Callithrix jacchus: one gene and its partner. The protein of the gene in region 1 purifies or fractionates together with the protein of each later gene. This does not show direct contact. Links are inferred from orthologs where the notes say so. Each region holds a gene or a part of one and is shown on either strand. Other genes may lie near its edges. The genes, in order: TNIK and NCK1.

Evidence for each region.
Region 2: the proteins of TNIK (region 1) and NCK1 purify together in Homo sapiens (affinity purification with mass spectrometry; 3 studies listed by BioGRID and IntAct, with this or other methods). This does not show direct contact. The link is inferred for Callithrix jacchus from reciprocal best matches to the Homo sapiens genes TNIK and NCK1.

The regions. Positions count from the first base shown.
Region 1 is NC_133518.1:15,981,815-15,985,626, forward strand, and holds part of TNIK (TRAF2 and NCK-interacting protein kinase), read left to right. Parts: intron 1-686; coding exon 687-798; intron 799-1,635; coding exon 1,636-1,806; intron 1,807-3,557; coding exon 3,558-3,701; intron 3,702-3,812. UniProt on the Homo sapiens protein: Serine/threonine kinase that acts as an essential activator of the Wnt signaling pathway. Recruited to promoters of Wnt target genes and required to activate their expression. May act by phosphorylating TCF4/TCF7L2.
Region 2 is NC_133518.1:47,382,635-47,387,180, reverse strand, and holds the start of NCK1 (SH2/SH3 adapter protein NCK1), read left to right. Parts: upstream 1-1,529; 5' UTR 1,530-1,613; exon of another isoform or gene 1,614-2,048; intron 2,049-2,356; exon of another isoform or gene 2,357-2,461; intron 2,462-3,835; exon of another isoform or gene 3,836-4,003; intron 4,004-4,546. UniProt on the Homo sapiens protein: Adapter protein which associates with tyrosine-phosphorylated growth factor receptors, such as KDR and PDGFRB, or their cellular substrates. Maintains low levels of EIF2S1 phosphorylation by promoting its dephosphorylation by PP1.

The DNA of each region.
Region 1 (3,812 bases):
CAAGCCTGAGATTCATTTTTCAAAGTAAGCCTTCAAGGTACATTGCCCACAAACCTAATATCTTCATGAAGTCCCTAAATAAAGATGTAATTATTCTTTTAAGGAAACTGTCATGGGAAGAAAAAATCTTCAATTCCAGAATAATATCATCCCTGAATTAAAGATTTTAAAACTTCTGGAGGCAATACCAATCCACTTGCATCACCAGGCCAGAGTGAAAGGGCTGAAAGTTCTCCTCCCCAAGAGAAAGCTCCTTGGGTTGACTCAGTGTTCAGGACCAAGTGCTGCCGTGTAGGCTTACTTAGTTTATTTCCAACTGCGTCAGATTTTCATATTGACCATGTGATCGATATAGGAGATTGCTTTTACTGAAAGCGAGAGGAAAGCTCTGTCACCACAGTGGTCCTACAGATTTTAAGGTGCCGTACGTGGTTCACAATGTAATTTTCTCACTGCAATTCTTGCAGTCTGATAATGAATGAAGTCCTACAAATGCACAATGGCTAGTGAATAATCAACACCAGAAGAAGCTGGAGAGAGGCACACACTGACTAGGGCGCTAGAATATGAACAGCTGAATACCCTGAACAATCCATGATCATTTTACAGCTCAAGCACAGGGTTGTTAGCATTGTTTAGTCCTGCATATTTATCTGCGCTTCTTAATCTTCTTGCTTATTGATTAGTATGGCATGGGGAGCAGCACCAAAGCCTCCTTCACCCCCTTTGTGGACCCCAGAGTATACCAGACGTCTCCCACTGATGAAGATGAAGAGGATGAGGAATCATCAGCTGCAGGTAAGCAAGAAGGGCCCAGTGTTTTAAAAACAGCTTCGTCTTCCTTCTGTTACAGCCTGATAAGAAAATTAATCCTCAGTTCAGTAGTTAAGCCAATTACTCCTTATGTCCTGTCTTAAAAGGAAGATTTGTTAAAATTATTATTTCTTGTTAAAATTTTTGTTAAAATTATTATTATTTAGGTATCTTAAAACAAACTTACTTATTTCCATTTTTTTTTTTCCATCTCTTCTGTTTTGTTTCTGGTAGACCCAGGGGTATATAGAGACCCTAGGAAAGCTGTTCCTCAGTGATCTCTGAACATAACCAAATATTTCCCCAAAACAATTTCTGAGTACAATGCTTTGCACACAGTAGGCCCTTAATAAGTGCATGGTGCATTGTGTTGAGTTCTAGGTGTGTGCTTCCCACTACAAAAATCTGGCTAATTTAGAGGAGGGTCTTGCTTTCTAATGTTCTTCAAGTAATTAATCATCAAAGCAGCTTAGGATAGTTTTGCAATTGATACTCTGGAATTTCAAAAAGTAGATCTTTTTTGCTTATATTACAGGAGTGGGGATGGTGTATTTCATTTGGGGAGATTAATATCAACTTTCTAAGCTGTCCAAGTAGTGTCTATAAGCCTGTTTTGCTAATTAATGAAACACTGCTTTGATGAATGACTTATATTTTATTCACTTTTTTAAAAGTGTAAAATAAGAAGAGTTTCAGTGTTTCTTTGCCTTTACTATAATTCAAACCAACAAGGAGAAATCATAGTGTTTTGAAGTCTCATCTCCACATCTTCATAGGTTATCTTTAAGATGCCACTGACTTCTCTGATTCTTTTTCTCAAAGCTCTGTTTACTAGTGAACTTCTTAGGCAAGAACAGGCCAAACTCAATGAAGCAAGAAAGATTTCAGTGGTAAACGTAAACCCAACCAACATTCGGCCTCACAGCGACACACCAGAAATCAGAAAATACAAGAAACGATTCAACTCAGAAATACTTTGTGCAGCTCTGTGGGGTATGTCAGTGCCTTTTTTTTTTTTTAATAACCTCTTACTAATGAACTGACCCCCAAACAGGAAAAGCCCGTGGATCTTGTCATCAAAAGAACACTGGTTGAATGGTGGGTATCAGATACCTAGCTTGGGATTATCTTGACTTCAGGAGAGACCAAAAGCCATTTTATATGTAGAAATAGCTGACACCCTACTAGCCGGGATGATGCGATTAGATTCAAACAACCTTGCCGCAAAATAGTGATGGGCTAAAGCCAACAAGAGAACTAGCTACCACCTGATACACTGAATGTGCAAGGCAAGGTCTGTAATCTGATCAATCAGAGGTGAGCTGTGTCCGGCACTTCGTGATATACCCCACGCTCATTCTCCATGATCCATACAGCCTGCGAGGGGAATAAGCACATAAATCATGGCATAACCCTTCATTTCAAGCTGAAAAACCAGCCCAGAGGATTTTAGTGAATTATCCAAGGTCATACCACTAGCAGTAACAAGATAAAACTTGAAGAGAACAACAAATAATATGATGAACTTTGCCTTTTAGTTTAAAACATCAGTCTGCATTTCTTGTGAAAAATATCTGCAGGTTTTAGCTGACCTCAGACCCAGGATAGGCATGATGAAATTCTGTCAAAGTCTTGGTCTATGTTACTATGAACATCTTATACAGATTAAGGAAGGGCATGTTCCCTATGTACCCATTGAAAACAGTAGGCTTGGAATTGGGGAACTGTACTTTTCAAGGGCTGAAAGCATTTGAGATGTTAGTAGGAAAGAGTGTGAAGCCTAGAACTATTTCATGATAGATGCTCTGTCCTCTGGAGAAGGGACAGAAGAGAACAAGATAGCCACATTTAATTTAAAAGGATTAATATGTGGACAAAAAAGCAGATATTTGTGTTGATCAGAAGATAGAAGTACAATAAGTAAGATAAGTTGGAGAGTTACATGTTCATGAATGTAGTACACTGCACAATGAGCGTCTCAATGTGTGTGTGTAGAGGGGTGGACGATAAATTTCCCTAGCAATGCATTTTTAGGATTACAACGACCCAGACAAAACCACTTACCTGCCTGTGCTTCTGGAATAGGGATTCCTGCATGGGTGTTGGGCTGCACTAGATTTAGAGAACTGAGAAGTCCCTTAAATGAGTATGTTTGTGACTCTCCAGCTATTGACACTTCTCTTGAATGAATTTATAATTTCTCCAAAAAAGAGCAGAAACTTGAGGGTAAGGGGCATAAGGTAGTTAGATTTTGGTTCAAGGAGGAGGAAGGGCCTTTCTTCCAATGGAGTATGGAAATGAAATTTCCATTGTACACTGAAGGCGGGCAGGCTAGAAATCACTGCACGGGGGTGGGGTGAACCTTGGGGAAGAAGAGAAGTAGATTTATAGGGAGAGCCAAGAAAGAAGTGGTTGTTCCAGGAAAGGAATAAAGGAAGATTATGCTAGCTTCATATCTGTGCCCAAGGCCCCTGTTGACAAGGACTCTCTGCATTAGGTAGTAAATAGGACATGTGAATGAAGCTACAACTTTACAAAAGGAAATTGTGATTTCATTACCAGAAGTACAATGCTTTAATTATTACGTCAGAGCTTCTACTTCTACACTTATTAGTTTATATTTACCTGCTTGCTCATTAGTTTATATTTACAAGTCACAGTTTCTTAGATTTTTATAGGGACTCTTGATGCCGAAGATTAAAGTTTGTGAAAAGTCAGTCTTACGGTGCTTCTTAAATTTACAGGTGTAAACCTTCTGGTGGGGACTGAAAATGGCCTGATGCTTTTGGATCGAAGTGGGCAAGGCAAAGTCTATAATCTGATCAACCGGAGGCGATTTCAGCAGATGGATGTGCTAGAGGGACTGAATGTCCTTGTGACAATTTCAGGTATGTTACTAAAATGATGAGTCCCCCACGTCCAAACAGGTGGGAAAGGTGACCACCCCTTTTCTGCAGAAACAGTTAGCTCTGCCCTTCCCAGCTAACAAGCAACACACT
Region 2 (4,546 bases), about 31 Mb from region 1:
AAGTAAAAAGTATTAATGCCTTAAACAAAATTTACTGACCATCTACCATGTGCAAGGCCCTAGGGAGAAACTGAACAGACACGGTTCCTGATTCAATGGAGTTTACAATCCACGTAGGGATACAGACAAACCATTTCAATAGCTCGGATGGAGAAAATACCTGTGCTCAAGGATACCTAACTCGGCAAGCTTCCCTGAGGAGCGACCCTAAACTGAACCACAAAGATGGTTAAGAAGAAATGAGGCAGCAGGGTGTGGTGGCTCATGCCTGTAATCTCAGTACTCTGGGAGGCCGAGACAGGCGGATGAGAAGGTCAAGAGATGGAAATCATTCTGACCAACATGGTGAAACCCCGTCTCTAATAAAAATACAAAAATTAGCCGGGCGTGGTGACGCGTGCCTGTAGACCCAGCTACTAGGGAGGCTGAGGGAGAGAATCGCTTGAAACCAGAAAGCGGAGGTTGCAGTGAGTCGAGATCGCGCCACTGCTCTCCAACCTGGCGACAGAGCGAGACCCCGTCTAAAAAAAAAAAAGGTTACTACGGTTTGCAGCACACTTACTGATGCTTCAGCCAGTGGCTGGAAACCTTATAACAGGCAGACCTAGCTCCGAAGATCCTCTTCATAACACTACTGTCGCCAAGACTGGAAGCTGCCCAAGCACGAGGGTCCTTTTAGAGGGACCTCAGACTCAGTTTATTTTGGTCTGTGCCTCAAATTAAACACAAGTCGGCCTGGCGCCGTGGCTCACGCCTGTAATCCCAGCACTTTGGGAAGACGAGGCAGGCGGATCACGAGGTCAGGCGATCAAGAGCATCTCAGCCATGGTGAAATCCCGTCTCTGCTAAAACACAAAAAATTAGCCGGGCGTGGTGGAGGCGCGCGCCTGTAGTCCCAGCTACTCAGGAGGCTGAGGCGGGGAATCGCTTGAACCCGGGAGACGGAGGTTGCAGTGAGCCGAGATCACGCCACTGCACTCCAGTCTGGGCGACAGAGCAAGACTCTGTTTCAAAAAAAAAAAAAAAAAAAAAGCCACATGTCTTACATTTCTCCCAGGTCCCAATTTTCAGGTCTTTTTATTTGTTTTTCTTTGTCCCTCCCTGCTCCTAAGCACCTTCGGCTGGGAAGACATTCTTCAGGTGCAGAAACCAGGGGGAGGCTCCCTGAACAGTGGGGGTTAGCTCAGGACGCTGTCATTTTTGCTGTAGAGTCTCTCCTGCAGCGCTGGGGCGGAAGGCTCAAAGTAACCACCCAGAGCAACCGCAGAGGGAAAACCGAAGACAGTCGTGGTCTGGCCTACCGCTTCTCACCCTCTCGCTGTCTTCTTTCCGCCGCGCAGCCTCAGCTCTTTCCACAGTACGAACGGCGCTTGATTGACAAGTGGGCCCGCCCAATCCCAGTGCGGCACAGACCACTGTCGCGTCAAGGACCGGGAAAGGGGGCGACTGAACCTATCAGATTGGGTCGGGAGTGGGTTTCCTGCCCGCGCGGATCCGCCTGCCCACCGCGCGTGCCCCGCCCCTCTCCCGAGAGCTACGCGGCGGTAGAGCGCAGGCCTCGTGCCGTTACGGTCATCACGGCGACCGCGGCGGCGTCCCGGTGCCTTCCTCAGGTGAGCTGGAGCTAGCCGGCACGGAAGACGGAGGGTGAGATGGCCTTGCTGGGAGGCCGACACACACACACCCCCTCCTTCAGTCGGCTGTCCGTCCTCACAGCCTGTTACTCGCTGCGTCGCTTCCTCTTCCCCCGCTGAGTTAGCCCCGGGGGCGCCGTCTGCAGGCTCGGAGCTGAGCCGGAGGGGATGCGGAGGCTGCTCGGCGGGGCCCGGACGTCTGCACTGGGATTCCGCGAGACCCTTGGGGCTCTGCCCCAGGGAGCGCGAACCCGTGGCCTCCTTGTCAGCCCCTGGAGCGCTGCGTCGGGGTTAGAGCCCGGGCGACCGCCCCTGCGAGGCTGGGAGGTCGAGTGTGCGGCTCGCTCGCCGGCTTGTCTATTTTCTACTGAAAAAGTCCTGTTGCCAGCTGTGGCGTAATCCAAGACCGGGAAGGTAGGGACGTGGTAGAAGGGAGGGCGCTCTCACCTCCAGCCCGAGAGGAGGAGGGGGCGGCAGCCTGCGCGGTGCTGAGGGTGGACATATTCGGGACGCGCCCTCGCCCCTCCCCCTACCCGCCGGCGGTTTTCTGGTCCGGGGCTTTGACTTTAAACGTCTGGACCTGCTTCACATTCGTACGCGAGTTGCTGGGGGTGTAAACTTTTGACTTGAGTTGTAATATGTTTGGTAAAAAAATTATCTCGATAGTTTTGTAACATTTCTTGTATGTTAACGTATAAGTTAAATTTGCCGTTAGAAGCTCAGGAAGCTGGATTTGTTCAGGGCTGAGGACGTAACGGTAGGAAGGCTCTCGGTGTCAAATCGATGGATCTGGAGTCAACTGAAAATAATTCTACACGTTATATTAGGTAAGAAGCCTTAGGAATTGTGAAAGAATGAGGTTAAGAAGAATTTCCAACTCCTTTTTGGGAGGGGAGCAAAGCAGCTCAATGCCCCAAAACGGGTAAGTGTTGCCAAGAGGTCCTCATTTTTTTTTGGTTGTTGCTGATTTTTTTTTTTTTTTTTTTTTTTTTTGAGACAGAGTCTTGCTCTGTCGCCAGGCTGGGGTGCAGTAGCGCGATCTCGGCTCACTTGCAACCTCCGCCTCCCGAATTCAAGCGATTCTCCTGCCTCAGCCTCCCGAGTAGCCGTGCTACCGTCGCGGGCCATTACCACCCCCAGCTAATTTTTGTATTTTTAATAGAGACGGGGTTTCACCGTGTTGGCCAGATGATTTCCATCTTCTGACCTCGTGATCCGCCTGGCTCGGCCTCCCAAAATGCTGGGATTACAGGTGTGAGCCACCGTGCCCAGCCAAAGTACTCATTTTAAAAATCTTTCTTGGATAGACTTACGGCAAACCAACAATAATGATTTCTTCAGCACCTGGAAAGCGCTATGTCTAAACTCTCAGCCTTCAGCGAGGTCACACAGTAAATGGGGAAATAACCCAATAAGAAAGTTTTGTTTGTTTGGTAATTGTCAACGTTTGTTCTTTTCTTTTTTTAAAACACTTTATTTTCTTGTGGGGATGGAGTCAGTGATGTTCTTAAATAGGCATTCCATTCACAACTTGATAGTAATATGCACTGGTTAATAAATGGTACTTTCTTTTCATCTTGACCACAAGCTCTGAGGCTTTCTTCTTTGGGAAAATTATGGTCTGTGGGAATTGGCTCTAATATCCATAAAGATAGATTGCAGAGTGTTCAGATCTACTAGCTGTTGGTTCATGTATTAAATTTTTAAATGTGTACTTATTTTTCTAGGCATTATCTTTTGTCCAGGTTTCTGTAGTGCTTTCAGGTCCATGTAAATAAAACTTGAAACCTACCTGTAATGTTTTGTTAGTTACTGAATGAGACCAGGCGAGGTAGTTCAAGCCTGTAATCCCAGCACTTTGGGAGACCAAGGCGGGAGGATAGCTGGAGTCCAGGAGTTTGAGATCAGCCTGGGCGATATAGTGAGACTCTGTCTTTAAATTAGAAAATTAAAAAAAAAATTTAAAAAGGAAAATAAAAAGAAAAGTGATATTAAGTGATGCTTTGTGTTTCTTGGTTTCTTTGAGATGGAGAAACATAAAGACTTGCTCTGTTGCCCAGGCTGGAGTGCAGTGGCATGATCTTGGCTCATTGCAACCTCTGCCTCCTGGATTCAAGCGATTCCTATGCTCAGCCTCCCCAGTAGCTGGGACTACAGGTGTGTGCCACCACACCCAGCTAATTTTTTTTTTGTATTTTTAGTAGAGACGGGGTTTCACTATGTTGGCCAGGCTGATCTTGAACTTTTGACCTCAAATGGTCCGCCCACCTGGGCCTCCCAAAGTGCTGGGATTACAGGCGTGAGCCACCGTGCCTGGCTGAGTTTCTTTTTCTTTTGGATCTCTGAGGACTTTCCTTTCAAAGCTGAAGGTATGTTTGATGTGATTATTACAAATCACTTGTCAGGAAGAATTGACGTAATGAATACAGGTGCAGTTCATTTTTAAAATTATGGTTTAATAATTTTTAGAATTTACCTTTATAATATGGAAAAATACCATACATTCTTTATCTGTACTGGAAAATTAAATGATTATTTCATTGATAAGTAAAATTGAAGGGAACTCTTGAAATCACTGAGCATTTAACAAATTCTCTGTAAATACCTTGATGTTAAGAAGACCACAGGGCTAAATATGACATTTAAAGATTAAGACAACAGTTATGTCTGGCTGATCCTCACCTGAAACTGTAACAAAGAGAACTAGTCTTCCCTTCAAAACTGATGCTGACTTGGTTTTGTTGACATTACCACGTTTTCAATTACCCAGATACAAACTTTGGTTTTATCTCCTAGCTTGTTAACAATATTGGACGATTTTTGCCAGCCATTTTTATCTTTGAACTACTCACTAGCCTTTAATTGGGTTTTCTGCTTGGCTTTTCTCTCTACTTAGTGTGTCCTGCCTAAAT